3 linked regions of the Callithrix jacchus genome follow. The protein of the gene in region 1 interacts with the protein of each later gene in a pairwise test. Links are inferred from orthologs where the notes say so. Each region holds a gene or a part of one and is shown on either strand. Other genes may lie near its edges. The genes, in order: MID2, UNC45A and CCDC42.

Evidence for each region.
Region 2: the proteins of MID2 (region 1) and UNC45A interact in binary tests that used the Homo sapiens proteins (3 or more experiments, as listed by UniProt). The two-hybrid records come from large-scale screens. The link is inferred for Callithrix jacchus from reciprocal best matches to the Homo sapiens genes MID2 and UNC45A.
Region 3: the proteins of MID2 (region 1) and CCDC42 interact in binary tests that used the Homo sapiens proteins (3 or more experiments, as listed by UniProt). The two-hybrid records come from large-scale screens. The link is inferred for Callithrix jacchus from reciprocal best matches to the Homo sapiens genes MID2 and CCDC42.

What each region holds. Positions count from the first base shown.
Region 1 is NC_133524.1:104,386,874-104,397,398, forward strand, and holds part of MID2 (putative E3 ubiquitin-protein ligase MID2), read left to right. Parts: intron 1-5,172; coding exon 5,173-5,888; intron 5,889-10,525. UniProt on the Homo sapiens protein: E3 ubiquitin ligase that plays a role in microtubule stabilization. Mediates the 'Lys-48'-linked polyubiquitination of LRRK2 to drive its localization to microtubules and its proteasomal degradation in neurons.
Region 2 is NC_133507.1:19,498,868-19,509,492, reverse strand, and holds the start of UNC45A (protein unc-45 homolog A), read left to right. Parts: upstream 1-5,774; 5' UTR 5,775-5,814; coding exon 5,815-5,865; intron 5,866-6,031; coding exon 6,032-6,199; intron 6,200-6,474; coding exon 6,475-6,511; intron 6,512-6,800; coding exon 6,801-6,976; intron 6,977-10,458; coding exon 10,459-10,551; intron 10,552-10,625. Other genes in the region: HDDC3 (guanosine-3',5'-bis(diphosphate) 3'-pyrophosphohydrolase MESH1), read right to left, coding at 1,772-1,902, 2,200-2,440, 2,551-2,606, 2,920-3,031.
Region 3 is NC_133506.1:75,254,745-75,265,269, forward strand, and holds part of CCDC42 (coiled-coil domain-containing protein 42), read right to left. Parts: intron 9,075-10,525; coding exon 8,877-9,074; intron 3,619-8,876; coding exon 3,295-3,618; intron 3,192-3,294; coding exon 3,033-3,191; intron 1-3,032. UniProt on the Homo sapiens protein: Essential for male fertility. Required for sperm development.

The sequences.
Region 1 (10,525 bases):
TTCACATACCATAATATGCACTATTTTAAAATATATAATTCAGTGTTTTTTGGTATCTTCAGTAGTTTTGGTATATATCACATTTTGTTTATCCTTTCATCAATTGATGGACATTTGGGCTGTTCCCTTTTGGCTACTATGAAGACAGCGGCTATGAACATTTGTATACAAGTTTTTGAGTGAACACATTTTCAGCTCTTTTGGGTATATACCTAGGAGTGGAATTGTATGGTAAGACTACATTTAGCCTTTTGAGGAACTGTTGAACTGTTTCCTAGAAGCAGCTGCACCATTTTTTATTTCCAACTGCAATGTATGAGGATTCTAACTTCTCCAAATCCTGGCTGACACGTGCTGTTTTCCAGTTTTTGTTTGTTTTGTTTTATTATATTATAGCCACCTTAGTGTGAAGTAGTATCTCAATGTAGTTTTGATCTGCATTTTCCTACTGGCTAATTATGTTGAGCACCTTTTCATGTGATTATTGGCCATTTGTATAACATCTTAGGAAAAATATCTACTGAAATCCTTTGCCCACTTTTAAATTGAGTTACTTGCCTTTTTTATTGTTGAGTTGTAGGAGTACATTTCTAGAGACTAGACCCATATCAGATATATTAATATTATTTGCAGATATTTTCTCCTAGTCTGTGGGTTGTCTTTTTACTTCATTGATGGTGCTATTTGTAGCATTCAAGTTTTAAATTTTAATAAAGTACCATTTATGCATATTTTCTTGGTTGCTTATGCTGTTGGTGTCATCTGAGAAACTGTTCCTGCCTAACCTAAGTTCACAAAGATTTATGCCTATCTTTCCTTCCAAGAGTTTTATAGTTTCAGCTCTTACATTTAGGTCATTCATCTCTTATGAGTTAATTTTTGTATATGATATGAGGAAGGACTCCAGCTTCATCCTTTTGCATGTGGATATCCAGTTGTCCAAGCAACATTTGTTGAAAAGAGTATTCTCTTTCCATCAAATGGTCTTTGAACCTTTGTTGAAAATCGGTTTACCATAGAGATATATATGGATTTATTTCTGAAGTTTTATCCTAAGTTTGGCTCTTAGTTTTGCTACTTAGAAACAAGTGTGACCTTGGACAAATTACTTTTCTTTTCTTTTTTTTGTGACGAGTCTCACTCTGTTGCCAGGCTGGAGTGCGGTGGTGTGATCTTGGCTCACTGCAACCTCCGCCTCCTGGGTTCAAGTGATTCCCCTGCCTCAACCTTTCCAATAGCTGGGACTACAGGCGCGCGCCACCACACCAAGCTAATTTTTTGTATTTTAGTAGAGACGAGGTTTCACCATGTTGGCCAGGATGGTCTTGATCTCTTTACTTCATGATCCACCCACCTCAGCCTCCCAAAGTGGTGTGATTACAGGTGTGAGCCATCACGCCCGGCCTACTTTTTTTTTTTTTTTAAAAAATGATAGTACCTACCTTTTAGAGAGTTGTTGTGAAAAGTAAATGAGATAGTGCACATAAAGAGTATTGTAAAGATGCTTAGATAATAAGAAAGGTAGGAAAAATGGGGGGTAATTGAAAAGATTCTGAAATATTAGGAGTACCCAGAAAAAGAACACCTCATAAATTAGAGATGATTGAACACGTTTGAAGAAATTCATAAAAGTATTCAGTTCCTGAAAATTGTCCAAAACAATTACTATATGACAATTAAAAATCAAACAGATTGGAAACAGTATAGAAAAGTTCTAATAAGCAACAGAGAGTAACTATCTTGTAATATTCTTTATAGAGCTGAAATCAATTAAGGTAGGTTATTTTAGAGTACTAATGATTGGCTTTTTTTCTGTCAAAGATCCTTGAGAATCTTTTGAAAGCTATGGGCAACTTTTTCCCCAGAAAAAAAAAATGCATATATGACATACAAACCACATTCTGCAAACAGTTCTAGGAAGTTCAGAAGTCCCTGGTTAATAAATCCTATTTTGATCTTACCTAAGGCAATCCTGACCCATAGCCTGCTTTCCCAGGCTTAATTTCAGAGTGAGGTTCAAGTGTCACACTGATTTGGAAACAAATTTTAGAGTTCCAGGCAAAATTTAAGAGCTTTTACTCTGTACAGGACAATTTATATGGCACCCTCTTAAACCTTAGGAAAGCTTTGGTACTCTAATTGTTCTATATGGGTTTCAACACACACAGGAATGGCTTTCAGCAGTACTTCTGACCAAGCCAGGTAGCTTCCAACACAGACATTGAGGAATGTAGGCATACAGTTCTAGAAGAGATAGTAATAAAAGTGCAGTGTGAGGTGGAGATGGGCCTAGAAGACTGAGATACAATTCTGGAAGGGACTTAGAATGAAATAGGCGGATTCAGAGAAAGTCAGAGAGACTGGGGGAGATAAAAATAGAAGTGGAAACATGCTGTTTAGAAATCCTCTTGTAAATAGTCAAGATAAACCTCAGTTAAGGAGGTGAGTTGATTGAAATAAAGGTGTAGGGAAAAGAGCACAGGCATTGGCGTTATACTGACCTGTGCTCTGGGTCTGTATGTTCTTGGTTGACTTATTTAATGACCCTAAGTCCCAGTTTCCTAACTGTAAGGTGGATACAGTAAGAGTAACTTCCTCCTAAGTTTCCTGAAAGAATTAGTGAAATAATGTGTAAAGTGTTTAACATAGTACTCAGAATACAGGAGGTGCTCAATGAATGCTAGGTCCCTTCTTACTCCTAGTTTGATACTTCATTAACTATTAATGAATATAGTTTGTGTGAAGCACAAACTTGTGCTGTGAATGAAAATATAAAATAGTTGATACCCTTAAGGAGAAGGAAGAGTTAGCCGGAGATACAGCTATAAAAGTGAAATAAAACAGAATGTTCCGGAAGCCACCAGTGGTTGAGGTGATAAAAACGTGTAGATGAGAGACCTCTTAGATTTCTAGGCTTGGATGATGATATTCACCAGATAGGGAAAATCAGAAGAGGAGCAGGAGTCTTTTGTTTGTTTTGTCTTCTGGAGGTGAGGGGGAGCACAGCAAGTTCATTTATAGTCATGTTGAATTTGAGTATCTGAGGAATATATCAAATGGAGCTATCTAAGGCAATATTCCTGCTGTCAGTGGAAGTTGGAATCTTCATTTCTCAAGTCTCTTCCAATACTAAGATTCAGTGATGTGTGTACATTTTAGTTGTTGACTTTTTCCCCTATATAGGTGAATGTTGATAGATGTTATAAGCTACAAAATACTGACCAACAACTTTCAAGCACCTGTTAATTCTAGAAGAAAAATACTATGTTATCACTTTTTAAAAAAAGTGATTGTATAAACATCTGAACCTGCTAAACCAACTGAGAGAGTGATTTACAAAAAGATTCTTCACTTTTATAGCCCCATTTTATATAAATTTTCATTAAATAGGTAGTTGAGTGCATTTAAAAGGTTTGATTTAGAAACAGCTTTTAGGTATATATATATATATAGTACTTGGGCATAAAATATAATTGTACTCAGTATTTATGTATCCTGGGAAGTCTGCAGATATCACTAAAAATTACAATATCTGAACAAATATCAATGGCAGAGTGAAATTTTGAAGCCCTGATGAGAGTCTCCAGTGATGACAAGATGATTAACAAAAAATACTCAAAAGCAAAAATTACTTTTCTTGGGCTCTATGCCATGGCTTTCTCCTGTAATCCCAGCACTTTGTGAGGCTGAGGTGGGTGGATCACTTGAACCCAGGAGTTCAAGACCAGCTTGGGCTACATGGCAAAACCATGTCTCTACAAAATAAATAAATAAATAAAAATTAGCTGGACTTGGTGGCATGCTCCTGGAGTTGCAGGAGGATTGCTTGAGCCCAGGAGGTGAATGTTGCAGTTAGCCAAGATTGTACCACTGCACTCCACCATGAGCAACAGAGGGATACCTTGTCCAAAAAAAAAAAAAAGAAAAGAAAAGAAAAAGAAAAAGAAAAAGCAGGAAAGATACGCTTTTTCTTTCCTATACATAGGATTAACGTTTTCAGTCAATAAGATATGTTTTATGTTTTTCCTTAGTTAAGGCCAATTTAGAATATTTATCTGTGTGTATTTTAATTAATGGAAGACCCAAGGCAATTAAGAATTAAGTACCTGTGTGTTCAGCACAGAAATGCCTGCAGGAGAATAGATAAATTTACCAACAGGTTGGTTTCTTGTCAGTTGGGTGACTTCTTTTACTCACTGATGCACACTAAATTGAGGATTATGAGATCTGAAAATTTCTGGCACTTTGCTATTTCTATCTAGATCTTGATTTGCATCCTGCTATGTTTTAGAAAGTATGAAAATACACATGGGCGATCAGCTTCATAGCAGGCTTGTGCTAGTTCAGCAAGTGTTTAGTAATAAAACCAAACTGAAGACACAAGGCAATATGACTTTATCATTGATCAGCAACTATTGCTGAGTAAGTTGAAAAGTCTGAAATCATTCCTTGTTCAGCTCGATGAAATGAAGGGGTTTCTGAAGGTGAGAGAAGAAGACGACAGTGAAAAGTATCATCTTTTGTCTTGAGTAACTCAGTTTACTAGGAATGGAATGGAACAGAAATTTCCATGTGTGATAATAAAAAGTAATTGAAGTTCACACTCTGAGGAAAAACTTATCCAGTACCAAAATCTTCATTTTCCTAAAGCTCTCTCTTTTTAATGCAGGCTCTCAAAATGGAATCAATTCAGAAAGTAGAGAGTTACTTTAAAATGTGGCATTGTTTTCCTTACACTGGATGTGACATAGAAGCAGCCCCTACAGTTTACCTTGAAGTGAAATAGAGACCAATATTGGAGAATAGAGATTGGGAATTTTGCAGGGCCTCAGCGTCATTTTAGTCTGGGAAAGAGATGTCAGTGGAGAATATATGAGAGAATGATCCATGCCAATATTGTGAGCTGGAATGGTAATGCTAATCAGTCTGACAGGATTCAGAGGTGACCATTTAATTTTACCTATTAGTGCATGAAAATAAACACAGGCATTTGTGTAAAACAAGGTTTGAAGGGGAAAAAGTCTTCCTGATTAATTCCCAAATTGCTTTCCTATTGCTTAAGCATCCCTGGGGAATCCAGCATGTAAACGCTCCCATTGGTTAGTGCATAATTATGTTATATCCATTTTCCTTTGGAAATGCGTAATGACTCTTGCTTTGTATTCCTTGCAGGTGAAAGCCCAGCCTCTGTGGTTCTTAATGCCTCAGGAGGATTATTTTCACTAAAGATGGAAACACTGGAGTCTGAATTGACCTGTCCAATCTGCCTAGAGTTGTTTGAAGACCCCCTTCTGCTCCCTTGTGCTCATAGCCTCTGCTTCAGCTGTGCCCATCGCATCTTGGTCTCAAGCTGCAGCTCTGGTGAATCCATTGATCCCATTACTGCTTTTCAGTGTCCTACCTGCAGGTATGTTATCTCGCTGAACCACCGGGGCCTGGATGGCCTCAAGAGGAATGTGACCCTGCAGAATATTATTGATCGCTTCCAGAAGGCTTCAGTCAGTGGGCCCAATTCCCCTAGTGAGAGCCGCCGGGAAAGGACTTACAGGCCCAGCACCGCCATGTCTAGTGAGCGAATTTCTTGCCAATTCTGTGAGCAGGATCCACCAAGGGATGCAGTAAAAACATGCATCACCTGTGAGGTCTCCTACTGTGACCGTTGCCTGCGGGCCACGCACCCCAACAAGAAACCTTTCACCAGCCACCGCCTGGTGGAACCAGTGCCAGACACACATCTCCGAGGGATCACCTGCCTGGACCATGAGAATGAGAAAGTGAACATGTACTGTGTATCTGATGACCAATTGATCTGTGCCTTATGCAAACTGGTGGGTCGTCACCGAGACCATCAGGTCGCATCCCTGAATGATCGATTTGAGAAACTCAAGGTAAGGGATCTGGGGAACAGCCCTTACACAACTTTGTCTCATAATAGAGTTATACAGTTAGTAAGTTCTCTAATAAAATGGGTGACTTTTCCAATATGACAAGTGAGTTAACTTTAAGTTGTTCTCATGAGGATTAACCTGCTCACCTGCAAGCTCTCTCTGGAACCTATCTGATCTGTTGCATAAACATGCTTGCATTCATACCCTTCTGGCTAACTTTTGGGGAGTCAGCTTATGGCCTGCGACACCAGTAGTTCATCCAGGGAAACAGCACTCTCTCTCCTCTGTCAGTGACATATTGCTTATTATATATCTTTGCTATGATCTTTCCACCTCTTTTAAGTATGTGAGTACTTGTGTAGGTGTTCTACAATTAGCATATGTCTCTATTTGCATATGTAGGTATATGGCAATGGGAAGGCAGGGTGTGTCTCTGTGTAGGTGTGGGTGGAGGTGTCTGAGTGTATCTAGGTAGGTGAGAGATTTTTGTGGAGGACAGTAATGTATGTTTATGTTCATGTACTCAATACACTAAAGAAACAAAAGTTTGGCATTGGCCATTACAAATTGCCATTAAGCATTTAACACAGGGCTAATTCTAAGCCTGCCTTTAAAAACAAAACAAAACAAAGAACTGAAGAAACTTCAGTAAACCATGAAATCAGAAGGGATAATTAAATATCTGAACTAAAAATTTAAACTGAAGGCAAATATTTCATCCACTATCAAATTTTGTGACAGTGCTTGCTGTTATGGGCTACAGACTGAAGCATTTGTTTATAGTTCCTACCTTACAAGTTCCTAGTTTTTATATGTGTTCTGTGGACAGAGTTTTCTGAAGTCATTGTGTCACATAATATTTATGTACAAGCCTAAGTGCCCATTTAAAAAAGTCCTCCTGCCTTACACTAATGATCCAGCAAATTGTTTTATTCCCATTGCTTGCCTATTATGTGGTATAATTTCTTTTAAGAAGTGAGCTATTTAGCAGCTATTCTAGAAAAATAAAATGTTTAAATGGATAGTAAAATTGCCACTCCAAATAGAAGCTGAATACATAAGCCAAGCTAGAAGAAAGGCCCAGATTGGATAATTTGTGGTAAAATTTCTTTTAAGAAGCCAGCTACTTAGCAGCTATTCTAGAAAATACAATGGTCTGTGCCTCTTTTGGTTATTATTTATATCAGATCTGTATAGATGTGTACAAAATTCAATTTTTTATTTCACTCAAGGTGATATTCTTATTCTATCAAGGCTGCAGAGGACAACAATCTTGTTGACTTCAATTTTTAGAATCATAAAATGTTAGGCCTTTGACTTGGTCTAGTCAAAGCTCTATACTTTAAAGTTGTATAAACAAATCTTGATAGATTAAGTGATTTGGTCAAAATCAAAGAAATGATTAGTAATGGGAAAGCTAGAACTGGAACTCAGCCTCTAGTCTGAGTTAACTATCCTTTGTACTGTAGCCGGCTGCCACTTTGTTTTGGATCTAAGTTTTCCCCATGAAATGTGATTTGAAACTTAACTTTATGCTTCTGCAACTGTACATTTCATGATCATAGATAAAAGATTAATGACATCAAAGAAGGGACAGATTGTTTAAACTTACAGCCATATAATGGCAAAAGATAGGAGCGGTGCTGTAGGAAGAGTGGGGATGTGAAGAGGACAGAACAGTCTTTGCCAAATATTTGTAGGTGTTGGGAGTATAATAAGTCATTGACCTTGAAAAATGTTCCAAACAGAAAAATCTGTGTCCATATGCACTGTTGAGATAACAAAAAGACTGGCTAGTGTAAGCTTGTATCTACAGAAAACTAGCTATTTGAAAACATCCGAAAACATGAAAACATTGGATGATTGATTAGATATTTGGCATCATGAAGCTACAGCCCTCATCTCCAGGGATGGATGGAACATGGACATATTTTACCAAAACATACTTTAGTCTGTGACTAATCAGTAATTTTTGGAGAAAGAAAGCCAGATTTTGAATAGTCCCCCTTTAATATTTTAGGAAATGTGCAGAAAATTCTGATTATAAATTAAGTGGAAACTATTTTTGTTCATTTTTGGATGGAGAGTGGAAACATATGAATCATTCCCAACCTTGTGGTTCGTTATGTTGTCTGGAACATCTTGGAGTTTTGGGAGGGTGAGAGAGGTACTGCTTGTGTGTGCGTGTTGGCGGGGGTGGAGGGGTCACTTTGGTTTGGTGCCAAATATAAAAGGGTATTAATTCTCCATGTTAAGCAGAGAGGAACTCTGGCTTTTAGTGTCACATATACTCACTTCTTTAGGTTAATTTTAAATTGGAAGACCATTTAGGATTACCCCTTTAATCTGCCTGATTCTTCCCCAAAGGAGAAAGTTGGCCAGCAGGAGCTATGCGAGAGACTGCCTGAGTATATTCCCCTAGTCCTGGCCCTGAGAGAAGCACAGGAGTCTTGTAGGAGGTAGCACCCATACTATCACTATTTCCTTGTATCTAGGAGGTTGGCTTTCTAGCCAGTAGCTGATACAGTGTTTATTTTTACTTTTTGGTTCTCGAACTTCACTGTTGACATTTGTAACTACTTTTTATATACAAACCTCCCTGATTAGGATTAGTGGCTTCTAATATTTATTTGTTCAATAAAGAATAAGCAAACCATTATGTTGTAGATGAAAGGTCAGAATAAACAGAAACTAGCCTGTCTTTTTAACATGTACTCAAAATGGATTAGAGGGCTTGGGGTACTTAGTATAGTTTCATGATCTCATTCAGTTGTCTAATCTACCAATAGGATTGAGATGCAGGACACTTGTCTTTCAGCAGGCTATCAGTAGTTCAATTAATAATTCAATTTCAAGGAATATTTTTATTCATTACAGTTATTGGAGTAGTAAGGCCTATCTGAGTAATTATTTTCTCCATCACCTCTCACTTTTCACACACGAGTCCCAATATATATCTTAGTTTATGATATATGGGACCTTTCTATAAAACAGCTTCACATTTTAGAATTTTCATTATCACATGAGTTTCTATCCTTATAAAAGATTGTTGTTATTGTTTTAATAAATTTTGGCTTCATAAAAAGAGGTCAAATTTCGGTGACTATTGCTGATATACTTCAGTATTCTAAGTTCTGTACAACTTCTTTCTTGTGCTGTCCATGTATTTTCCCCTCTAGTCCTCTCAAATGTGTTACCTTCATCTACCCAGGTGAGCCTCTTAATCGTCTGCAAAACATACCATTTTCTTTTCTGGATTCTTAACTCTTATTAGTGTTCTTCTCTTGGCCTGTTTACAAATCCTACCTATTCTTTTCTTTTCTTTTTTTTTTTTTTTTGAGATGGAGTTTCGCTGTTGTGGCCCTGGCTCAGCCTGAACCTTAGCCTCCTGGGTTCAAGTGATTCTTCTGCCTCAGCCTTCTGTAGCTGGGATTACAGGCATGCACCACCACGCTTAGCTAATTTTGTGTTTTTAGTTGAGACGGGGTTTCTCCATGTTTGTCAGGCTGCTGGTCTGAACTCCTGACCTCAGGTGATCCACCTGCCTCGGCCTCCCAAAGTGCTGGGATTACAGGCATGAGCAACCGCACCTGGCACAAATCTACCTATTCTTTAATGCATAATTCAAACCCCATAAGACCACCCCAATACATCGCAGCTACATCTTCATCTCCTTCAAGTCAGAAATAATGCCTTTTATTTCTTTGATATTCTCCTTAGTGTCTTGTACACATAGTATTTGCTCAAGAAATCTAAATGAATTCAGTTTTCATAATGGATTTGCAGGAAATATACCAATATCTATAGCTTGCTTTAAATCTCATCTTAGAAGATATAAATCTGTCTTGCCATAATGTATACCCTGAAAGTCTGAAAAAAGATCTCCCGTGAACTACTGACAATATTCAACACCAGACTGCTAGTAAAAGTAAGGCATGCCGTTAATTTTAAGTGCCTATTCATTTTGATCACTGGATTTTCCAACTGCCTAACCCTATGGTGACATCTGTATAAATCACATGTGATTATATTAATTCTCTTTGAGAGTGATGTCTTCACATTTCCATGCCCACAGACTGCCAAAAATATAGCTGATGAAAACCAGGGGGAATAGAGGAATTTCCTGAAAGGAATAAATAAGCACATTTTCTTCTTCTCATTATATTTCCACAAATTCATTACTACAAATAATTCTTAAATGCAGTTACATTTACATACCAGGGATCTTGTTATGAAATGTTACCCGGCACTGGGCACTGGGCACTGGAGTAAGCCTTTTATCATGGGAAAGTTAAAACACACACACACACACACACACACACACACACACACACACACGCGCGAAGCAAGACTGGAAAAGAGAAAGCTAAAGGTTGCCAGACAAAGAGAAGGGACATATGAGACTTGGAGGATGTTCAAAGGAAAGCCACAATGAGAGTTAAACGGTTGGAAAATACAATATTCTAGAATCTTATCACAGTTGATTACTTGTCCTTCTTCCTACTCAGTCACTCTGTCATCCACCCACCCATTCTCACTCAGTCACCACCTTCTCTCAGTCATTTATCTACTTACTCACTTGACACCCACTACTGTCTGCCAAGACAGATACCCTCTCAACCAGTGTACTAATGGGC
Region 2 (10,625 bases), on another chromosome or scaffold:
AAAACTTTAAAAAAATGGGGTTATAGGAGGTCAACAAAGGGTGGGTTTGAGATGTTTGGGTGGGTTAAGTGGGCATTTTGACAACATGGCTTCTCCTTTGGCATGTTTAATTGTGACATTTGACAGGCAGCCTTGCAGTTTAAGATGACACTTTAAAAATAAATTCTCTCCTAATGATGACTTGAGCCCTGCCACTCAATGGGAGAATCAGCAGAACCTGTAGGATCTTATTTGGAATTGACATTCTTTATTGTAATTTTGTTCCTGTTTATTTTTAAATTTTCTTTTTGTTTCATTGGAAAGGAAAGATGATGCTCAGTTTTAAAACGTTAAAAGTGTACACAAGTTGCTTTGTTACAATAAAACTAAATGTGTACACACACACACACTACATATATATATATAATCATACTTAGTTCCATATAATCTTTCTATGTAATCATATAGGTACTATAGTCGGAGCTGTACCGACACATTTAGTGCTGATTTATATAATCCTTCTATATAACCATATAGTAGTTTGTAGTAGGAGGAATGCCTAGAGCAGTCACAGAACAGAAGGCCTGAGATCCTGCAAATAACTGAGGGAACCCTTCTGGTGTGACCACTCATGGCGGCTGTACACCGTCAGTCTTTTCTCAATTCTCTGCTAGCTCATATCATCCTCCCACAAATATCTTAAGAACACAAGTCTGTCAGCTCCCACTGCATTGGCTTAGAGCATCCTTCTATTAGAAATCCTTTGAAGTCTCCAGCCCCCAGATAAAAACAGGTGTTGTGCATGACACATGTTGCACACAGCCCACCTCCTTGTCTCGGTGACCTAATAGGGGTGGACCCCCTTTCTGTACACGACCCTCTACTACTGCACACAGCACGGCCCCCTACTGCACATGGCCCACCTCTCTGCCCAGGTAACATAACGGGGTGGCCCCCTCACTTGTGTCTCACGTGATTATGTATGCCCTATCACTAAGCCTATAGATGATAACCTCACTTACTACCCTTCCCCCTGCCTGTACCTAATGAATAGATGCTTCTGCATGTTCGGGGCCTTGCCTGTCTCCCCTCAGGTGGCGTGGCCCCCCCAAGTCCAGATGCCCTTCACCAGTTCTTCAGTGTCCTGTCTATTTCTTGGATCCTGCACTTCAGCACAGCATAAGGGACACCCCACAACCCTGTGGGGCCAACAGCCCTACAAGCACCTATGTGTCAGGCTCCATCAGGCACCTCACAGTCTAACCTGATAATTACACAACCCATCTCACTGATAAGGAAGCTAGGCTCGGAGGGGCTAAACCCCCAACCTGAGGGAGGTGATGCAGGGACACACAATTAGAACCCTGCTTTGCTGAAGGACAGGTATGCAGCCTACCAGTCCCCAACCCAGGAGGCTGGAGAAGGAACAGCAGCAATTTACACCTTTACCCATAGTTCTTTTTATTGACCATAATGACTTAGGAACTAGTACTTACATAATCTCAAGTCCCTGAGGGAACAGAGATCCCACCATGCAAAATAGCAAACAGACCCAAGACTTGGGGAGAGGCAGCGAGTGCATCAGAAATGGATGGGTACATCTTATTCCCACACTCAGGGGGCTCAGCTTAGTTAGCAGGAGACCTTCAGATTGAGAAAAAATGCAAGTCTTTTTTTGGCCTCTGGTATCTGGGAAGGATGGAGGGAGCACAGGAGGCACAGAAAAGGTGCGTGAATCCTGTCCGGCCTGGACGAGGCTGGAGTTGTGCTGCTGAAGAGCTCCAAGCACTGCTCAGAGTGTCAGTCCCCGCTGCTGGAACAGACGTTTTAGAGCCTCTTCCAGTTGCTGGTTTGTTCCCTGAAGCCCCTTCACCACCTGCGCTGCCCACTCAAAGTATTCCTGGACTCGCTGTTCTGACCATCCTGCATAAGAATCGGCAGAAACCTGCTAGCCTGATGTCAAAGACAGCACTGCCTTTTGCCTGCTTCCTGGCAAGCTTGGTTCAAGGCCATGAGTTCCTGATGGGATGAGCTGTCCCAAAAACTTGCCTGTGGCTCAGCTATTGTATTTTGACCATAGGAAGGCAGATCAAGAGTGGTATAGTAGAATTAATTTGGGAATTAAGAATGCCCAGAGTTTTTCAGGGGAACTGACCAACCTGTGCCTTCAGAAGGTGGCATCCCCCTCCCCTTTCCCTTAGAACCCATAGGAAAGCGTACCCTCTGGGGTGCAGCGATTCAGGTCCCTCAGATTGTGCAGCTTGTCTGCCAGCTTCACCAGTTTGGCCCCGGGGCTGCTGTGGGGCGCCTGCTCCACCTGCAGCCGCTTTCTCTCCAGCTTGGGCAGAGTCTTGTCATCTGTTACCTCCTCCACCAGGCACCGCACCTGTGCCCCAAAGTGTAGCTCCACCTCATCCAGAGTGGTGTCTGTGTCCTCCACCGTGTCATGGAGCAGGGCTGCCTGGGGACAAGTTCCCATTCAGCCCTGAGATGCTAGCCAAGGGATGCCCATTGCTGAATGGGGCCCCCGATCCCTATCCCAGACTCCTGGCAGAGAAGTGGGGAAGTTACCTGTAACACTGCAATGTCAGTGATTCCCGCCTCGTGGGTCAGGATCCGAGCCACACCTGACGGGGAGGGGCAAAGCAGGAAGTCAGCTCCGGGGGAGCTCCAGGGCTGTGTGTTGTGGGTTTCGGAGAGCCAGATGTGGCCCCTTGTGGCCTCTCACTAGCTGGGTGACCTTGGTTAAGTTCTTTACCCTCTCGGTGTAGACCGGCAAAGGGAACGATCACGACTACCGCTCCAATTGTTGTGAGGCTTAAATATCGCACTATGCTTGGGACAAAATAGATGCTCAACGAGGTGGACGCCCCCCACGTCTCCTTCCCAGTCCCCGCCCCCCAGGCGCCGCAGCCGGTGCCCCGCGGCCGAGGTGCCCACCGATGGGGTGGTTGATGTAGGGGGTCCCCTCCGGGTCCTTCCGCCGCTGCTGACGATGCTTGTAAGCTGCGAAGTCGGCAGCCTCCAGCAGCTGCGCCGCCTCGGAGCTCATCGCGCGGATGCGGCGGGAGACTGCAGCCGCGGGGAACCTCCACGGAGTATTTACAGCGCCCTCTGGCGCCAGGGAGGCCCGGGGGGGATCATGGAGGCGAATTCAGCGGCCTGAGTTGGACCTGGCCCAGGTGGATTCCTTCGGAGCTGACATGCCCCGTGCAGAGAGCAAGCGATGTGCGAAGCTGCCTTCAGCATCGCGGCCCCTAGCTCAGTGTGCTCTGTTGGGGGTGCAAGAAGAACATAAGCCTGGCTCTCTGGGAGCCTACAGTCTGTGGAAAAGAGTAAGACAGACAAGAAATAAGGCAGTGGCCTCACCGTGCACTGAATCCAGGGTGGGAAGGCTCAGGTGACTACGGGAATGGGAAGAAAGGTCAATCCAGCTAGCCTCAGAGCCAGAGGCAGCTTCTCCCAGAAGCCCCCTCCATGAACAGACAATCTTCAACCTGTCAAAGCTCTGAAAACGCTTTAAGTGTTCTAAAAATAGTTCTCCCTGCAGTGACGGGCCAGGTTCTCTCGGCAGGGGAGCCTCACCTTTGGACCTAGGAGATCCTAGGGCCTGACCTGAAAAATCAGAGCCTTCTCTGGGATCCCTGCCTAATTCCTTCAGACTTGGGCTCCCAGGTAGCCATGACATTTCTGCAGAAACTGCCTTTGTCCTCAGTGTTGCTTATGAAATTTGCATTGCCTTCTTGTGCCATGAGTGCTCCTATTTCAGTCTCGAGGCACCTTCTGTAGGCCCCTGTGGTTATGAGTGTTATCAGTGCTGTTCTGGGAGCACGATGTTGTCAGGCCTGGGTAGACACTGGAATGACACTTAATTCTGCTGGCTGGTAGCCTTGGGCCTTCTGGAAAAATTCCCTGCCTCAGCAGCTATGAGGTATGAGGGGTAAGAGAGGCCTGATGATTCTCATAGAACTGCTCTGTGAGAAGGGGTTTGCTATTAGTTAAGTATACGCTAATCAGACAGGAAGCTTTTGTGTTCTGGCTGGTAGCCGGGGCAGATGCAGCTCAGGGGAAAAGCTAATGAAAGGACTCACCCTCGGTTTTCAGCTAGTCTTGGTGGTTGCCATGTCGCAGAGGTTAGGGAGGGGAGTGCCACATGCTGGAACTGAGGTCTCTGGGACCTGAAATAGAAGAGTCAGAATTCCCAGAGCTTCCATGGCAGCCTGGAAGTTGGAGAACGGGTAGAAACATATTTGGCTCTAAATGCCTGTTTGTTCTTCACGCTAACAACTCAGCTGCTCGCTCATCCCTCATTCTGGCTTCTAGTTCTTTGAGCCTTTCCTCCTTCAGCAGTTTGGCAATGCGGGTCCCATGTTTTCCAGCAGGAGATAGAAACCTAGTCCCTGCCATCTCTCTCTAGAAGCCTGTGATAGAGAAGCTTCAGGCTTGTATTCATGGTGCCCGAGGGCCTTGGGGCTTTGATTTTTATTTCCTTGTTGTCTGCATTCATGGCCTAGAAAGAGAGATGTTAGAGTTCCCAGGACCTGGACAGAGGTGGTGGTGAACTCTCCTGGGCATCCAGAGAAGGCCAGGCCCCTTGCTGACAGGTCTGTCCATGGGGCTACTGCTGCTCCTTGGCTGGGCCACCCTTGCCAGCCAACTTCTCTTTCAGGTACAGCACTTCCTCCTGTGACCCACTTTCCTCTTGTGCTATGGACGACTCCTGGGGACTGGAACTGAAGGTGATGGGTAGAAGGGTGTCTGATCTTCTGGTAAGGGCTGATGTCTTTTACCGTCCAGAAGGCATGGAGTGGGCTGTGGCAAGACCCCTCCTGCTTGTTTCCAGCCCCCCACCTTTCTCTTCAGCTCTGTCCACCATCCACAATTGTGCCAGACCACCTGGGATGCCGACGGCCACCACTACCCCGGTTTCCCTTGCCCTCTTCTCTGATTCTCCAGAGGAAGCCTACTGCTGCCACCTGAAGGCTGAATTTGAGGTCCTGTACCAAGTCAACTTGTCCGTTCTTCCGCCCCCACCCATCCATCCTTAGGTGAGATCTCCAGCCCCGGAGCCCCTGGAACATCGACAAGGTGTCTCAGTATCTGGGGTTCTGTTCTTAAACTATGGGGTGGGAGGCTTGTAAATTAGAGTTGTGAAGGGACAGACCGCAGCAGAAAATCATGTAGATCATGATCACGATTACAAAGGCGGCTGTAATCGTAATCACGATCAGGGGGCTGTGCAAGCGGGTAATGGGGAGCCATCCTGAATCTACCCATGGGTGGCTTCAGTGTGTGTCTCTAAATTCGTACGCAAATGTGTGCATGTCAGACTACGCTTATTTGGGGAGGGGGTTCCGAGCGTTCTCCGGACTCCCAGGGGTTCTCTACCCCCACAGAACGCAGCAGCGAGAGCGCGGCCAGGGCTGGGATCCTGAGACTTTTCTCTCTCCCGCAGGGGCCGGGGCCCGCTCCTAGCGCTAGGCGTCTACACTCTGCTGCTTGTGACCCTGATGGCCGCAGACCTCGTGCACTTCTGCTGTGGTCGGGGCCGGGGTCGGGGCTAGAACCACTGCAGGCCTCCCTTTGGGTCCTCTGCCGAGAGCTCCCTGCAGGTCTCCGCTGGGACAGCTTAGGGGTGCGCGGAGTTTGCTGGCACCTGTCATCCGGGGCGGAGCGTTCCGCCCCTGCCCGGGCGCGCCCACCCCTTAGCCCCTCCTCTCACTGACCCCGCCTCCGACGCAAGAGTGGGCGGGGCAGCTTCCGGCCGAGTCCCGAGCCCAGACCCGACCCGCCCCAGAGACTGCGCCTGCGCGGGCACTGGACTACCTCTCCGCGATGACTGTGAGTGGTCCAGAGACCCCCGAGCCCTGGCCGGCTACCCCCAGAGTGCGTACCCAACCCCCGCGCCATCACCCCTTCGCAACCGCGCTGACTGTCCCGGCCTCCTCCTCCCCATCCACGAGGCGCCCCTGAATCCCTCCTCTCCTCTCCTCTTAGCTCTTGGGCCCTGCCCCGAGCCCCCTCCGACGTGGCCGCCCCTTTCTCCCTACAGGCCAACTCAGTGGCAGTGGAGCAGCTGCGGAAAGAGGGCAACGAGCTGTTCAAATGTGGAGACTACGAGGGCGCCCTGGCGGCCTACACTCAGGCCCTGGGTCTGGACGCGACGCCCCAGGACCAGGCCATTCTGCACCGGAACCGGGCCGCCTGCCACCTCAAGCTGGTGAGGGAGCCGGGTGCCCTTCCCCTCCAACTTCCCCACCCTCCCGGGACCCGGTTTGGGCATCTGAGCTGTTGCTTGGGCCCCAGCTGGACATTCACGCTTCCAGGCCACCCCGCTTGCTAGATGTGGAATGCACCTCAGGGTCGTGGGGGATTGGGTGACCTTGGAGAATGAGAGTACCCCACTGCCCGGTTAGTACCCCCTAGAGGGAGGTGACCATTCATTCGGCTCCTATCTCCCCCCCTCCCCACTCGGCTTCTGTCTTTCTCTTACAGGAAGATTACGACAAAGCAGAAACAGAGGCGTCCAAAGGTAGGGAATGGTGGGCCCTCGAGTAGCACTATAGGGCTTCTGGAGGTTGAGGATTGTGGGACCATCACATTCCCCTCCTTTTGCCCCGGAGACACATCTGCCTTCTTTCTTTCCCACTGCCTCGGGCTTTGCCTTTTCTGCAGCTACCCTTACTTTTTCTGAGGCTGAAGCACCGAGCCCCATATTCGTCCCCCACCTTCCTCTGGCTTTTCCTCGAGATCTGTCCCTACTGCTCTTGCCTGACGACGGTGGCCTCATGGGTGCTGACAGCGCTCCTGTTTGTGCTCAGCCATTGAAAAGGATGGTGGGGATGTCAAGGCACTCTACCGGCGGAGCCAAGCCCTAGAGAAGCTGGGCCGCCTAGACCAGGCTGTCCTTGACCTGAAGAGATGTGTGAGCTTGGAACCCAAGAACAAAGTTTTCCAGGAGGCCTTGCGGAACATCGGGGGCCAGATTCAAGAGAAGGTATGTGAGTGACCCAGACAGGTGGAAGCACTGATCAGTGGTGAAGGGATCTGGGCCAGGGGTATAGACAGTTCTCCAGAGAAGAGATACTGATGGCAGGTGAACATAGAGAGTTCTGCTCAACCTTGCCTGTGGCCAGGGAAAAGCAAATTCAGATGACAGCACATTACTGCTGATTTGGTGGTCTGTTTGGCAGATATTTAAAAGAAGGGACACTTTTTTTTTTTTTTTGAGGCGGAGTTTCGCTCTTGTTACCCAGGCTGGAGTGCAATGGTGCGATCTCAGCTCACCGCAACCTCCGCCTCCTGGGTTCAGGCAATTCTTCTGCCTCAGCCTCCCAAGTAGCTGGGATTACAGGCACACACCACCATGCCCAGCTAATTTTTGTATTTTTAGTAGAGACGGGGTTTCACCTTGTTGACCAGGAAGGTCTCGATCTCTTGACCTCGTGATCCACCCGCCTCGGCCTCCCAAAGTGCTGGGATTATAGGCATGAGCCACCGCGCCTGGCCTGAAAGGACACTTTTTGAGGGGAGAGGCAGACATGTCAACGGTGAGGCCGGGGGCCAAGGGCTCTCTGATGACTGCTGGAGGGGTATAAATTGGTACAGCTCTTTTGGAGAGTACTTTAGCATATCTATTACATTTGAAACGAGTGTATCTTGTGATCCCATATGTTTACTTCTTGCTGTTTCGTTTTTTAAATTTATTTTTATTTTTTTTAAAGACAATGTTGGTCAGGCTGGTCTTGAACTCCTGACCTCAGGTGATCCGCCCGCCTTGGCCTCTGAAGTGCTTGGATTACAGGCGTAAGCCACCACACCTGGCCTACTTCTTGCTGTTTCTCTCAGAGAAACCTTGCCCATGGGTACAAGGAGACATGTGTATGTTTATTTCAGCCCTTTTTGTAGTAAGAAAAGCTTGGAACTTGCCTGAATGCCCAGCCATAGGGAAATGGCTGAATACACTGAGTAATTGAATTGAATTCAATTCAATTGAAGTGGAAAGCTCTGGGACACTTGTTGAATGAACAACACAAAATAGGCAGGGCATGGTGGCTCATGCATATAATCCCAGTGCTTTGGGAGGCCAAGGTGTGATGATCACTTGAGATCAGTAGTTTGAGACCAGCCTGGGCAACATAGTGAGACCCTGTTGTTATAAAAACTTTAGTTAGCTGGGTGTGACATACCCTTATAGTCCCAGCTACTTGTGAGGCTGAGGCAGGAGAATCCCTTGAGCCCTGGATTTTGCAGGTCAGTGAGCTATGATGGTACCACTGCACTCCAGCCTGGCTGAAAGAGTGAGGCGCTGTGTCTTTCCGAGAAGAAAAGAAGAAAAATATATAATAGCACACATAGTATAATATCATTTATGTTAATGATCCCTTACGTAGCAAAACAATGCTATATTTTTTCTGTGGGGACACTGGGTGTGTAAATAAAAAACAATATTTTATTTTTTTAGATTTATTTGTATTTAAGTATTTTGAGGCAGGCTCTCCCTCTGTCACCCAGACTGGAGTGCAACCTCCTCCTCCCAGGCTCAAGTGATCCTCCTATCTCAGCCTTCCAAGTAGCTAGGACAAATGCATGTCACCATGCTCATCTAATTTTTTTTTTTTTTGGAGACGGAGTTTCACTCTTGTTACCCAGACTGGAGTGCAATGGTGCGATCTCGGCTCACTGCAACCTCCGCCTCCTGGGTTCAGGCAATTCTCCTGCCTCAGCCTCCTGAGTAGCTGGGATTACAGGCACGCGCCACCATGCCCAGCTATTTTTTGGATGGTCTTGATCTCTTGACCTCGTGATCCACCTGCCTCGGCCTCCCAAAGTGCTGGGATTACAGGCTTGAGCCACTGCGCACCTCCCTCATCTAATTTTTATATTTTTTGTAGAGACAGGGTTTCACTGTGTTGTCCAGGCTGGTCTCGAACTCCTGGGCTCAAGGGATCTACCCACCTCAGCCTCCCAGTGTGTTGGGATTACAGGCGTGAGCCATGGCACCAGGCCAAATATGTATCTTTGTTTTTTTTTGTTTGTTTTCACAAAAATATTTTAAAAGATGTATGTCAAAATGATATCACTGTGAGCCCTGGGGAAAGGAGTGGGTTTGAGAGGGCTTTCCAAAGGAGACTCTGTCATCTGTTCATATTTTTTTAGTAAAGAGAAATTGTGTAATACATATATTTTTAAATTAGGAGAAAATAATCTAAAGACTATTATGAGCTATAACCAAGCTCAAATTCACCTGATAATTTGATGTTAAAACGCTGACACAGTGGAAGAAGGTAACATGATGGCAGAGACCTCACTGAAACAGTGAAACCCAGAAAAGCAAAGAGTTTTCCTCTCTCAGTGCCAACTCTGATTAGCAGTGGCTGCCCAGAGTCTCCTATGTTGAGAAGAATTAGGAAGCTGATTGCCTGAGCTGAGCAGGGAAATGTGCCGTGTCTGGTTAGTCATGGCTGCCATGGATACAAGAGGGTAAGGGGGTGGTCCACATGCTAGGCTTGTGCCACCGTCGATGCCCAGGACCCTGGGGGTGGGGGAGTAGGCCTAGGATGATCTTGCCCATTCAGATTATTATTATTATTTTTATAAAAAAGAAAAGGTTTTACCATGTTGGCCAGGCTAGTCTCAAACTCCTGGCCTCAAGTGATCCACCTGCCTTGGCCTCCCAAAGTGCTGGGATTACAGGCATGAGCCACTGTGCCCGGCCTATTATTATTATTTTTGAGACAGAGTCTCATCCTGTCACCCAGGCTGGAGTGCGGTGGCAGGATTTCTGCTCACTGCAACCTCCACCTCCCGGGTTCAAGTGATTCTCCTGCTTCAGCCTCCTGAATAGCTGGGATTATAGGCACCCACCACCATGCCCGGCTAATTTTTATATTTTTAGTAGAGATGGGGTTTTGCCATGTTGGCCAGGCTAGTCACAAACTCCTGACCTCAGGTGATCTGCCCACCTTGGCCTCTCAAAGTGCTGGGGTTATAGGTGTGAGCCACCTATAATCTGAAACACCAGGTTTCAGATTATGTTTAAAACAGTCAAAAGGAGAATTCCGGTGCTAACGAAAGTGTTAGCAACTACCTCACAATCTGCAGCCCCCTGGCAGGAGGCGTAAATGCTGAGTTCAGTGTCATGGGCAGCCCATTCATGCTGCCATAACATAGATGGCACCACTGGGAGTGGGTTACCTTGTGGCTGACAGGATACCTCCCCTCCCGAAAGACTCTACCTCCAGCATCGGCACTGTTCCTGCTGCCCAAGCAGGAAATAGCTCAGAAAGCAAAACAGCTGCAGGGAATGTAGGAGGTGCTACCAGGCAAGTCTCTTCCTGCCCAGGGTAGCCAGGTACTAGCTCTGAGTTTCGACATCTTCGCTGGGCTCCCAGAGTGAGGAGCTGGAGACAAATGAACAGGGAATGTAATGTCTCTGGCCCAGAGCCTTGATTTCTTCCATGCTTTGTTGGTTCATAGGTGCGATACATGTCCTCGACGGATGCCAAAGTGGAACAGATGTTTCAGATACTACTGGACCCAGAAGAGAAGGGCACTGAGAAAAAGCAAAAGGTATAGGCCCTGGGCTGAGTCAGTGAGTAAGCTCCTTCTAGAGCCACCCAGCCGTAGCACCTTTCACCCATGCA
Region 3 (10,525 bases), on another chromosome or scaffold:
CAAAGGAGTTCTGTGGTCAAGTCAGTTTTAGAAACACTGTCTGCTGGGAGCATCTCAGGGCATAGCAAAGACTCCAAGTCCTGTTTGTTTTTTAAAATCTTATCTTCGTTTAATTTCAAGTTTTCTAAATCTATTAGTCTATGGAGTCCGCTTATTCCCCCTAGGAAACAGTATCTCAGGATTCAGTTTGGAAAGTGCTTGTTCAGATAGTTTGGCTTTTCTTCAGGGATAATGCCAAACCTTCCATGACACACTCTATGGAATTCAAATTGCCCTGGCCTTCTGCAGAATCACTTTTCCTAAGCTGTCCTGTGCACCACGTTCCTTGTTCTGTATAAGCAGCTGCTTTACAAAGCCCGTGCCTGCATTGCTTGCAGGGATGCTGTTGAGGACATCATAAAATGTCAATGAAGGCTCATCAGGAAATTTCTGTGAGAGCTAACTGCCAGGAAGAGGAAACCTTATCTTTTCTTATTCTGGTATAAGAACTACTGGTGGCTTTTCATTTGGGTTGCCAGGAAGCTGGCAATTAACTGCCCCCGTCTAAGGCCCTTAAGAACCAAGGGCAGTCTGTATTTCTCTCCGTCCTTGACCTCTGATTTCAACTTGTACTTTCCCAGGTCCTTAATTTTAAATCTTTAGGCTACTTGGTCATGTGTATTTCCATGAGTAGCTTCATCTCCTATGGGAACGAAGTGAGATATTTTCAAATAACTTTTGGGCAATGTGAAGTTCTCCTGTAGAGGTAAATCCAAGTTGAGAGGGATTCAGAAACTCAAAATTTGGAGTGGATGGACTAGAAGCTATGGTCTCAGCAGGGGATGCACTTGTGGGAGTGAGGGGGTGGAGAGCGGCATCTCCCACTGAATCTTGAGAGTTTTGCTCTTGCTGCCCAGGCTGGAGTGCAATGGCACAATCTCAGCTCACTTCAACCTTCACCTCCTGGGTTGAAACGATTCTCCTGCCACAGCTGCCTGAGTAGCTGGGATTACAGGCACTTGCCACCATGCCTGGCTAATTTTTGTATATTTAGCAGAGACGGGGTTTTACCGTGTTGTCCAGCCTGGTCTTGAACTCCTGACCTCAGGTGATCCGGCTGCCTTGGCCTCCCAAAGTGCTGGGATTACAGGCGTGAGCCATGGCACCCCACCATCCTGCTGCATCTTTCTTCACAACAGCTAAGGGCAGGAGCCTGAGGACCTCTGGGTGGCCGAGGGGAGGGGGACTGAGTTTTTTTTTTTTTTTTTTTTTGAGAGGAAGTCTCACTCTGTCACCCAGACTGGAGTACAGTGGCTCGGTCTCGGCTCACTGCAACCTCTGCGTCCCGGGTTCAAGTGATTCTCCTGCCTCAACCTCCCCAGTAGCTGTGATTACAGGTGCCCGCAACCATGCCTGACTAATTTTTGCATTTTTAGTAGAGATGGGGTTTTACCATGTTGGCCAGCCTGGTCTTGAACTCCTGACCTCAGGTGATCCAGCTGCCTCAGTGCTGGATTACTCCCAAAGTGCTGGGATTACAGGCATGAGCCATCTTGCGCAGCTGGGCCTGAGGATTTCTGGGAGTCTCTGATATCCTATTCTGGGGGACAGGGGTTTTGAGGCCAAAACTCTTTTTATAATAATAAAAAAATGTTATTTGCCTGTTTTGCTCTTATTCTCTCACGAGTCCACAGTGGCATTTCTCAGAGTGGAGTTTCCATGACATATACTGTCACAGCAGAATGAACGCAGAAGCAGACATGAGCACCTGCCTGTCCTCTGTTAAACCAGACATTAAAGCGATCTGCAAGTATGTCAAACAATGCCACTCTTCTCACAAAACACTTCTGAAACCTTTTTCATAAAAATGCTATTTCTATTGACATACTTTTTATTATTATTCAAAATAAATTAATTAAATATTTTTAAATTTTCTCTTTTAATTTCTATTATGGTAGTTACCAATAGATACAACCCCTATAAAGGAAAGCTCTCTGGGAGTCCTCAATAAACTCTAGGAGTGTAAAGACGAAATGCTGAGAATTGCTACCTTCAGAACAAACTTTCTTACAAGTTTCCTCCTTTGGGTTGTAACATAATTCTGTTCAAACATGCTTTAAGGTGTAGGCTGATTTTTTGTTTTAGGGAACTTCTTTTGCCTTGCTGTGTATATTTCATGAGTTTACCCCCCCTTGTTTTTTTAAGTAGGGAAAGTGCCTCTCAGTCAATTTTTTTTTCTCGGTTCATCGCAGCCTCTGCTTCTTGGGTTCAAGTGATTCTTCTGCCTCAGCCTCTAGAGTAGCTGGGATTATAGGTGCTTGTGCCACCATGTCTGGTTAATTTCTTTTTGTTTTTTTGAGATGGAGTCTTATTCTGTCACCCAGGCTGGAGTGCAGTGGCGTGATCTCGGCTGACTGCAACTCCCAGGTTCAAACAATTCTCTTGTCTCGGGCTCCCAAGTAGCTGGGATTCAGGTGTGCACCACCATGCACAGCTAATTTTTGTATTTTTAGTAGAGATGGGCTTTCACCATGTTGGCCAGGCTGGTCTCAAACTCCCAATCTCAGGTGATCTGCCCGCCTTGGCCTTCCAGAGTTCTGGGATTACAGGCATGAACCACCAGGCTCGGCCTCCAATTTCTCTTTTTAACAAATGATGGGCCTCAGGTTCAGGCCTTCAGCAAGTCACAGTATCTCACTAGAATTTAATAAGGCTGTTTTATACAACTAATGGATTCAATATGGGTCCCTTGTATACTGGAGCCAAAAAGGGTTTGGTGCTAATGCAAGATTCTCAAAGTATGGAACCCGAAATCAGCAGCTTCACTTGGGAACTTGCTGAAAATGTAAATTCTCATCTCAGATCCACTGAGTCAGAGACTCTGGACGTGGGGCCCAGTAAGACTCCTCCCCCTCCCAGGTGATTCCGATGTTGTGAAAATTTGAGAGCCCCTCCTCTGCTGCTCTGTTGGTTTCATTGTTCCACCCAACCAATTGGTAACCTCTTTGGCCCAGCAGACCCAACGGCTCCAGGGCCTGTCTCCATCCTCCTACCATGTCCAGCTGCTTGTGTGTGTCCTCCAGCGCCACCTCAGTCGCCTCCTTCAGCTGCTTGCTCACGATCTGGAAGAGGTTCAGCGTGGCCATCTTAATGGTGCCAAGCAGGAGGGTCTTCTTGGCTGCAGTGTTCTGGATGTGCGCCCAGCGAGATTCCTGGGGAGGGGATAGGACGGGGCATGAGCACAGAATGTGTGTGTGTGTGTGTGTGTGTACTCAGGGCTCTCACTCACCCAGTACCCGCCCCGGGCCCCCTCACCCAGATGATGACGTTGCTGCGGGCACGGTCAAAACGCATCTGCAGCCTTGCCAGCTCATTGTTTTGCTGCAGGATTTCATCATCCTTCTCTTCCATGTAGTGTGCCAGCCGGGCTTTGGCGTGCTCAATCTTCTCCTGCCCCTCCTGCGCAGACTGCATGAGGTCGTGGTGCATGCTCACCAGTGTCTTGTAGCGCGCGATCACCTCATGGATCTCCTCGAACTGCGGACAGGGGCTCAGGACAATGCACAGCCAGTCCCAGGGGCCTGATGGAGCCACCCAGTCCTGCCAAACCCCAGCCTGGAGGCCTGGACATCTGGACATCTGGGGAGACAGGCCCTTGGCCAGTGGAATGGCCGGAGGCTGTGAGGAACATTGGGGTTCCCGCTGCCTGCCTCTCCTGGGTTTGTATCGGCCATGGTCCATTTGATAGGCTGGGGGGGATGTACAATTGGGCCAGGGATTTCTGATCTTAACTGCATGTTAGAATCACCTGCAGGGGCTTTAAAAAGGATACCTGCCAGTCTCCACCCCCAGAAATTCAGATGAATAAACAAGTCTTCTGTGGTCTCTGACACCTGAATTTTGCAAAAGATCCCCAGGTGGTTCCAGGCACAGCCAGGGTTGATAGTTGCTGGTGGAGGGCATTTTGATATGTCTCCCAAGGCAAGAATTTCCTATTCAACAAGGTTGTACCAAGAACCACTTATAAGTCAGGAGCGAGGCGAAATGCCAGGGAAATAGCAGGAGATAGGAAAACCAGACTCTGATTTTAGGAAGATTATATCCCGAGGGGTGGCATGGAGGGAGGACAGACAGACAAGTAAACAGTTACAACAGCAAGATAAGCCCTATCTTTGACTGGGGGACAGGGCTGGACAGGAATCTGGGTGAGCCTTCCAGTTGGTGACCTCTGGTATTTGTTCATTTGCTGAGGGAGAAGCGGGGGCTGGAGAGGGTGCTGGTGGGGCAGGTGGCCTGCCAGATTCAGCTCACCTCCTCCGGCATGGTCCAGAACCACACCACTCTGGCCCTAATCCTCAGGTCCTGCTCAGTGGAAGAGAAGCCCTGAAACCAACCCTGTTTAGAAGGCAGAGCATGAGCACCAGTTCGGTGATGCCAAGTTGCCTTCCTAGGGGCTTATCAAAGCATGCCTTTCGGCCACCCAGGGGAAACTTCCTGAGCACCTTCTCCATCTCATGACATCGCCAGTGACAGGTGGGTGTCCTGGGAACTACCCTGCTGGCCTTTCCCCAAATATGCCTCTTTGGGGAAGGGCCACCCAACTCAGCACTGGAGGGGGTAGAAATAGCCCAAAAAGGTTTATTGGGAGAAAGGGTAGCTGAAATGAGACGGGAGGAATGAATAGATGACAGCCAGCAAAATGAGTGTGGGGAGGTGATGCAGTACTACAGGTGGAGGAGGCAGCCTGGGTAAAGATAAACAGAATAGGGGGTGGTATGTTCAGGATGTTCAAGGTAGCCTGAGTTCAAGATGGGGAGGAAGAGATTGACAAGAAGAAAGAAGGAAGAAAGAGGGAAGGAAGAAGAAGGAGAAGAAAAAAAAGAGAAGGCAAGAAAGAAAGGAGGAAAAAGAAAGAAAAAAGAAGGAAGAAAGAAAGAGAAAGCAAGCAAGCAAGAGTTCAGTAAACCTTGGGAAGGAGTGTGGACTTTATCCATTGAAGGATTTTAAGAAGCAGAGAGGGCTGAGCGTGGTGGCTCCCACCTGTAATACCAGCACTTTGGGAGGCTGAGGCAGGTGAATCACGAGGTCAGGAGTTCAAGACCAGCCTGGCCAAGATGGTAAAACCCTGTCTCTATCAAAAATACAAAAATTATCCAGGCATGGTGGTGGGCACCTGTATCCCAGCTACTCGGGATGCTGAGGCAGAGAATTGCTTGAACCCAGGAGGTGGAGGTTGCAGTGAGCAGAGATTGTGCCACTGCACTCTAGCCTGGGTGACAGAGTGAGACTCCATCTCAAAAAAGAAAAAGCAGAGAGACAGTTCACATCTACATTTCTGAAAGTTCATCTGGCACACAGTGCAACAGCGTACCACAGTTCAAATAAACGGACTACATCCGAGCTACTAGGAACACACCTCTAAAACTTAATGCTGATGCCAAAATGATTCAGGTGTCAAATGGAAGAGCCTCCAGTGCCCAAAGATGAGATGATTTGAACATTAGTAAGAATAAGTGCAAAGGTTTAAAACATACCAAATATGTTAAAAACCTATAAGTTCACAAGGATACTAGAAGCATTACAGGTGGGTGCAATTCATTATTCTGAAAACTGTAAATAAAGCATTTAACAGACTTTCTCTGTAAGACCCACACAATCATCAAATGGGAAGGTTCTCTCTTATGAAGTCCTTTTCTTTAATGGTAGTGTTCTAGCAAATAAACGAAGAAGGGCTGCTAGTGAGTATCTTCCCCCCACCATTGAGGAAACCAATATTCCGACTTCTATCACTAAAGATTAATTTTACCTGTTTTTAAACACGAGTGGAATCATGCGATATAACCGCTTTTGTGTCATGCTTAAGAAGCATACCAACTAAGGGCAGTGTGAGGACCTTAGTGGACCACGATTGGAACAAACCAACTGTACAAAAAGCATCTGTGCAATAATTTGTCTTAAAAGATAGGATCTCACTCTTGCCCAGGCTGGAGTACAGCGGTACAAACATGGGTGACTGAAGACCTGACCTCCTGAGCTCAAGCAGTCCTCCTGCCTCAGCCTCCCACGTAGTTGGGACCACATATGGGTGCTACCATGCCTGACTACTTTTTATTTTTAAACTTTTTGTACAGTTGCGGGGAGGGTCTCACTTTTTTGCTCAGGCTGGTCTTGAACTCCTGAGCTCAAGTGATCCTCCCACCTTGGCCTCCCAAAGCACTGGGATTACAGGCATGAGCCACCATGCTTGCCCCATTTTGTGCAATAAATGATACTGATATTTTATGTTAAGGAATTACTATCAGTTTTATAGTAGGTGTGACAATGGTGTTATAGTTATTTTACAAAGAACTCTCATCTCTTAGAGATACATACTGCAGAGAGACATATATGGTTGAAAACATACCATTTGCTTCAAAATGGCAGAGGTGGGATAGTATGGGGGATGTGACTATGAATTGATAATTACTGGAATCAAATAATGAGCAGCAGGTGTTCTATACACTGTTGTATTTACTTCTGTATATGCTTAAAAATTTCATAAAAAGTTACAAAACGTTCAATGTTATAAAATAATAAAAACAAGCATGATATGAGAATTTTTAAAAGCAGGATACTCGGCGTCTGAGGAGAGGTGAAAAAGCATGAGATTTGGAAGGACACAGGATTTCATTTATTGGATTTCAATTGTCAGTAGTGTTTAAGACAGCAGAACTGGGGGCAGATGGGGAAAGATGAAGATTTAGCAAAGCTATGTGATGAGTACTTGGTTGCTGTTATGTGTGTCTCTATACTTTCCAGTATGCTTAGAGTATTTTGAACAAAATAAACAAAGAAGAAAAGAAAGAAAGAGCGGAGTGGGAGGAATGTAAAACAGGCTGGCCAGGAATGACGCCGAGTGGAACTCCAGATGAGGTACCACTGGTGGCCTGGATGGGGAAGGGGCCGGGACTGGATTCCAGAAATACTTCTAAGGCAGAACAGACCAGATCTGCTGATTGATAGCTGTGGCACTGAGCAAGAGGGAGGAGCCAAGGAGGCCCAGGTTCTGGTGGAGCTGTGGGTGGGTGGTCCTGCCATTCGCCAGCACAGGACAAACCAGCAGCAGGGCTGGCCTGGGGGTGGCAGGAAGCAGATGAGACAAGTGTGCACGGGGAAGAGTTAGATATGGGGGTCTTAAGCTTAGAAGCGAGACACAGGCCAATGTCCTCAATCCTAAGATACATATTTTAGCAACTCTGAACTCAAGACACACCTTACAATATTTTGTTTTGTTTTGAGATGGAGTTTCTCTCGTCCCCCAGGCTGGAGTGCAACGGCATGACCTTGGCTCACTGCAACCTCTGCCTCCCGGGTTCAAGAAATTCTCCTGCCTCAGCCTCCTGAGTAGCTGGGATTGCAGGCACCTGCCACTACGCCAGGCTAATTTTTGTATTTTTAGTAGAGATGGGGTTTTGCCATGTTGCCCAGGCTGGTATTGAACTCCTGACGTCATGTGATCCACCCACCTTGGCGTCCTAAAGTGCTGGGATTACAGGTGTGAGCCACTGCACACCTGGCCACATCTTGCAATTTATCGGCTGTTTTAATACGGTAGTCCCTCCTTACTTCCTGCCCGCTTCCCCAGAAACTCTAACCATGAAATGAACCACTGACCTTATAGTACGTAGCAGCTTTGAGTGGAGGAAATAACGCAGATGTGGGACTCATGCATGAGTAAACTAGGTGAGTGGTTTGATATGGGAATTGTGGGAAATTTAAACAGCTGGGCATTCTGTCGCCCCTCCTCTACCAGGACATAGATCCACGTGCCTGGAGGGGGTGCCTCTATCTGCCCCGGTGGGGGGCTCTTCTGGCTGTTGGTCACATGGGGGAGGAGATAGTGTGACATGGGTGGCATCCATGGAAGGCCCTAGGTATTGATCAGGGAGAAAAGTAGAGGATCTGGGACAGAGCACCTGGACTCACCACATAAGAAGGACCTGGGAAGAGGCCCTTCTCCGCCCCAGCCAGGAGCCTGAGAAGAAGGGCCACAGAGTTCAGGGCAGTGGGGGTGGTTTCTGGTTTCTGGGAGGGGCATCAGCAGTATTACACTGCAAGAGCCATGCTGGAACTGAGAAGTTCTCTGGGCTTGGGCCACAGGGATGGCAGGAAGAGCCCCGGTCAATTACACTGTGGGGCCCACGGAGAAGTGGCTAAAAGCAAATGAGCTGTGAGACTGATAAGCTGTGAGACTCTTGGCAAGTGACTTAACCTCTCAGAGCCTCCATTTTCTTCTCTGTAAAAGGATGATCAGCTTGGGTTCCCCTTGGGGCTGACCAGAGAACTGAATGAAGTTACCCATGTGAAGCACCAACTCCCAGGACATCTGAAACACCCCAGTTTGTATGGTGTTTCAATACCAGGAGGCTGGGTGTTTTTCCAGCTCCTCTCCTTTCCCCTTCCCAATTTACTCTCCAGTAAACAGAAGACACTGAGAAGAGGGGACACAGGGATAGAGAGAGGCCACCTGCTCACACACACACGCACACACACACACACACACACACACACCCCTTTAGACAGACACAGCCAAGGATACACATGTAGACATAAACATGCAACTCATGCAAGACATATACACAGTTGTGACTCAAGACATACCACTAGGCCCCACCCCTTGGGAAACTCATCCAGCCTCACTTGAGGCTTCTTTTAGCTGCCCCTGACTGCCCCCCAAGGACTGGTTGCATCTCCTCAGAGTAGGGTGCCCATCCCTGCAGAGTCCCTGGGGCTCAGAAGGTCCACAGTCTGAAGCCAACTGAGCCTGAGCTCCACCCCATTGCCCCAAGCCCCAGGAAACAGGAGGTGGGGCTGAGGCAGCTGCCAGGGCCAGCCGCTGCCGGGCTCCTGGGACTCACCTCGGAGTTCTCCACCACTTTCTCTAGGTACTTGTTGAAGATGGAGTAGTCCTGCAGCTTGGCGCTCAGACGCTGGTGCTCCAGCCGCAGCGCCACCATCTCCTGCTTGCCCCTGGTCAGCTCCCGCAAGTGCCGACACTTGAGTTCTCGCTCCTTGTTGACTTTCTTCATGGCTCGGATCCGTTTCTGGTCGTTCTCCTGGGGCCGGGGGAAGCAGCACTGGTCAGGAAGCCTCGCCCGGTCCTCCCGGGGCCCAGGCCATCCTGGGGCTGGTGGTGCCCTCAGACCCCTCCATGTGCTCAAACCATCCTGGGAACAGGCAGACTGCTGGGCCACCCATGAGGCAGAAGCGGGGTGAAGGAAAAGGCTCTTAGGGGTATTTGAAGCTGCTTGAGGAGATTTCTGTGGACTGAGGTGGGGCTCAGGGGGCTGTGAGGACAGAGGTTTCATCCAAGGTCAAGAGGTGGCCCTGGGGGCGGGGGGAGGGCAAACAGGAAATGGTTCTTTCCTGTGGGACTTGGGCTCTGGACTTCAGAGAGTGGACTAGGGGAGACCTGCATTGCATCGGGCTCAGAGTCTGGAGAGAACTGAACCCCTTGATAAGATTGAGAAAGTCCCGAAGTGGTAGCAGGAAGACTTCTCACAAAGCTTCTGTTGTTTCTGTTCTTCCCGGTGGCCATTTTCCGTGGAGCAGAAGAACCACTCCTGGATCAGAGCTGGGAGGTGCAAATTTTCTCCCGATTCGGTGCGCAGTGCCTCCATTTTCCCAGCTGTGGAGAAGGGAGGCAGGAGCCCCTCTCCCTTTCACAAGCTGGGGTAACAGGGCTGGAGTTACAGGAAGATGAGCTAGGAGATGCACCTGGTGCCTTAGGGCCTGGTGGTAAGGCCACTGGGAGAGCATGCGCTTAGGAGCTCAGACTTGCATCCCACTTAGGGAGGAGATGGTACAGGCAGTTCGATGTGAGAAGACAGAAGGATCAGCTACTGCAATCGATCCAATCCTGCCTATTCTTTCTGCCAAGCCCTCCCCTAAGATTAGGGACAAGCCCACCCCTCGCCCTGTGTGACTCCTGTCTCCCATCAGGGGCTCCTGTGATATCACATGGATGGACTTATGGAATGTGGCACTTGGAGGCCACTGAGGAAGGTGCACGGAGGATCTGTGTGCTGCCCTGTAAGCCCAGGAGAGGACTGAGGGGGTCTAAACCAGTGGCTTTCAAATCCACCTGCTCATCAGAACTGCCTACAGAGCTTTTAAAAAAATATAGAGGTGTGGTGGCTCTGCCTGTAATCCCAGATTTTGGGAGGCCGAGGCAGGTGGATCTAGAGGTGAAGAAATGGAGACCATCCTGGCCAACATGGTGAAACCCCGTCTCCACCAAAAAAACACAAAAATTAGCCAGGGGTGGTGGCACTCGCCTGTAGTCCCTGTGACTCGGGAGGCTGAGGCAGGAGAATGGCTTGGACCTGGGAGGCAGAGGTTGCAGTGAGCTGAGATCATGCCACTGTACTCCAGTCTGGGTGACAGAGCAAGACTGTCTCCAAAAATAAAAAATAAAATATGAATGAATGAATGAATGTATACAGAAGGCTGGGCCCAACCTCAGATCTGCAGAAAGCAACAAGGAAAGCCCCTGGGGTGTACATTT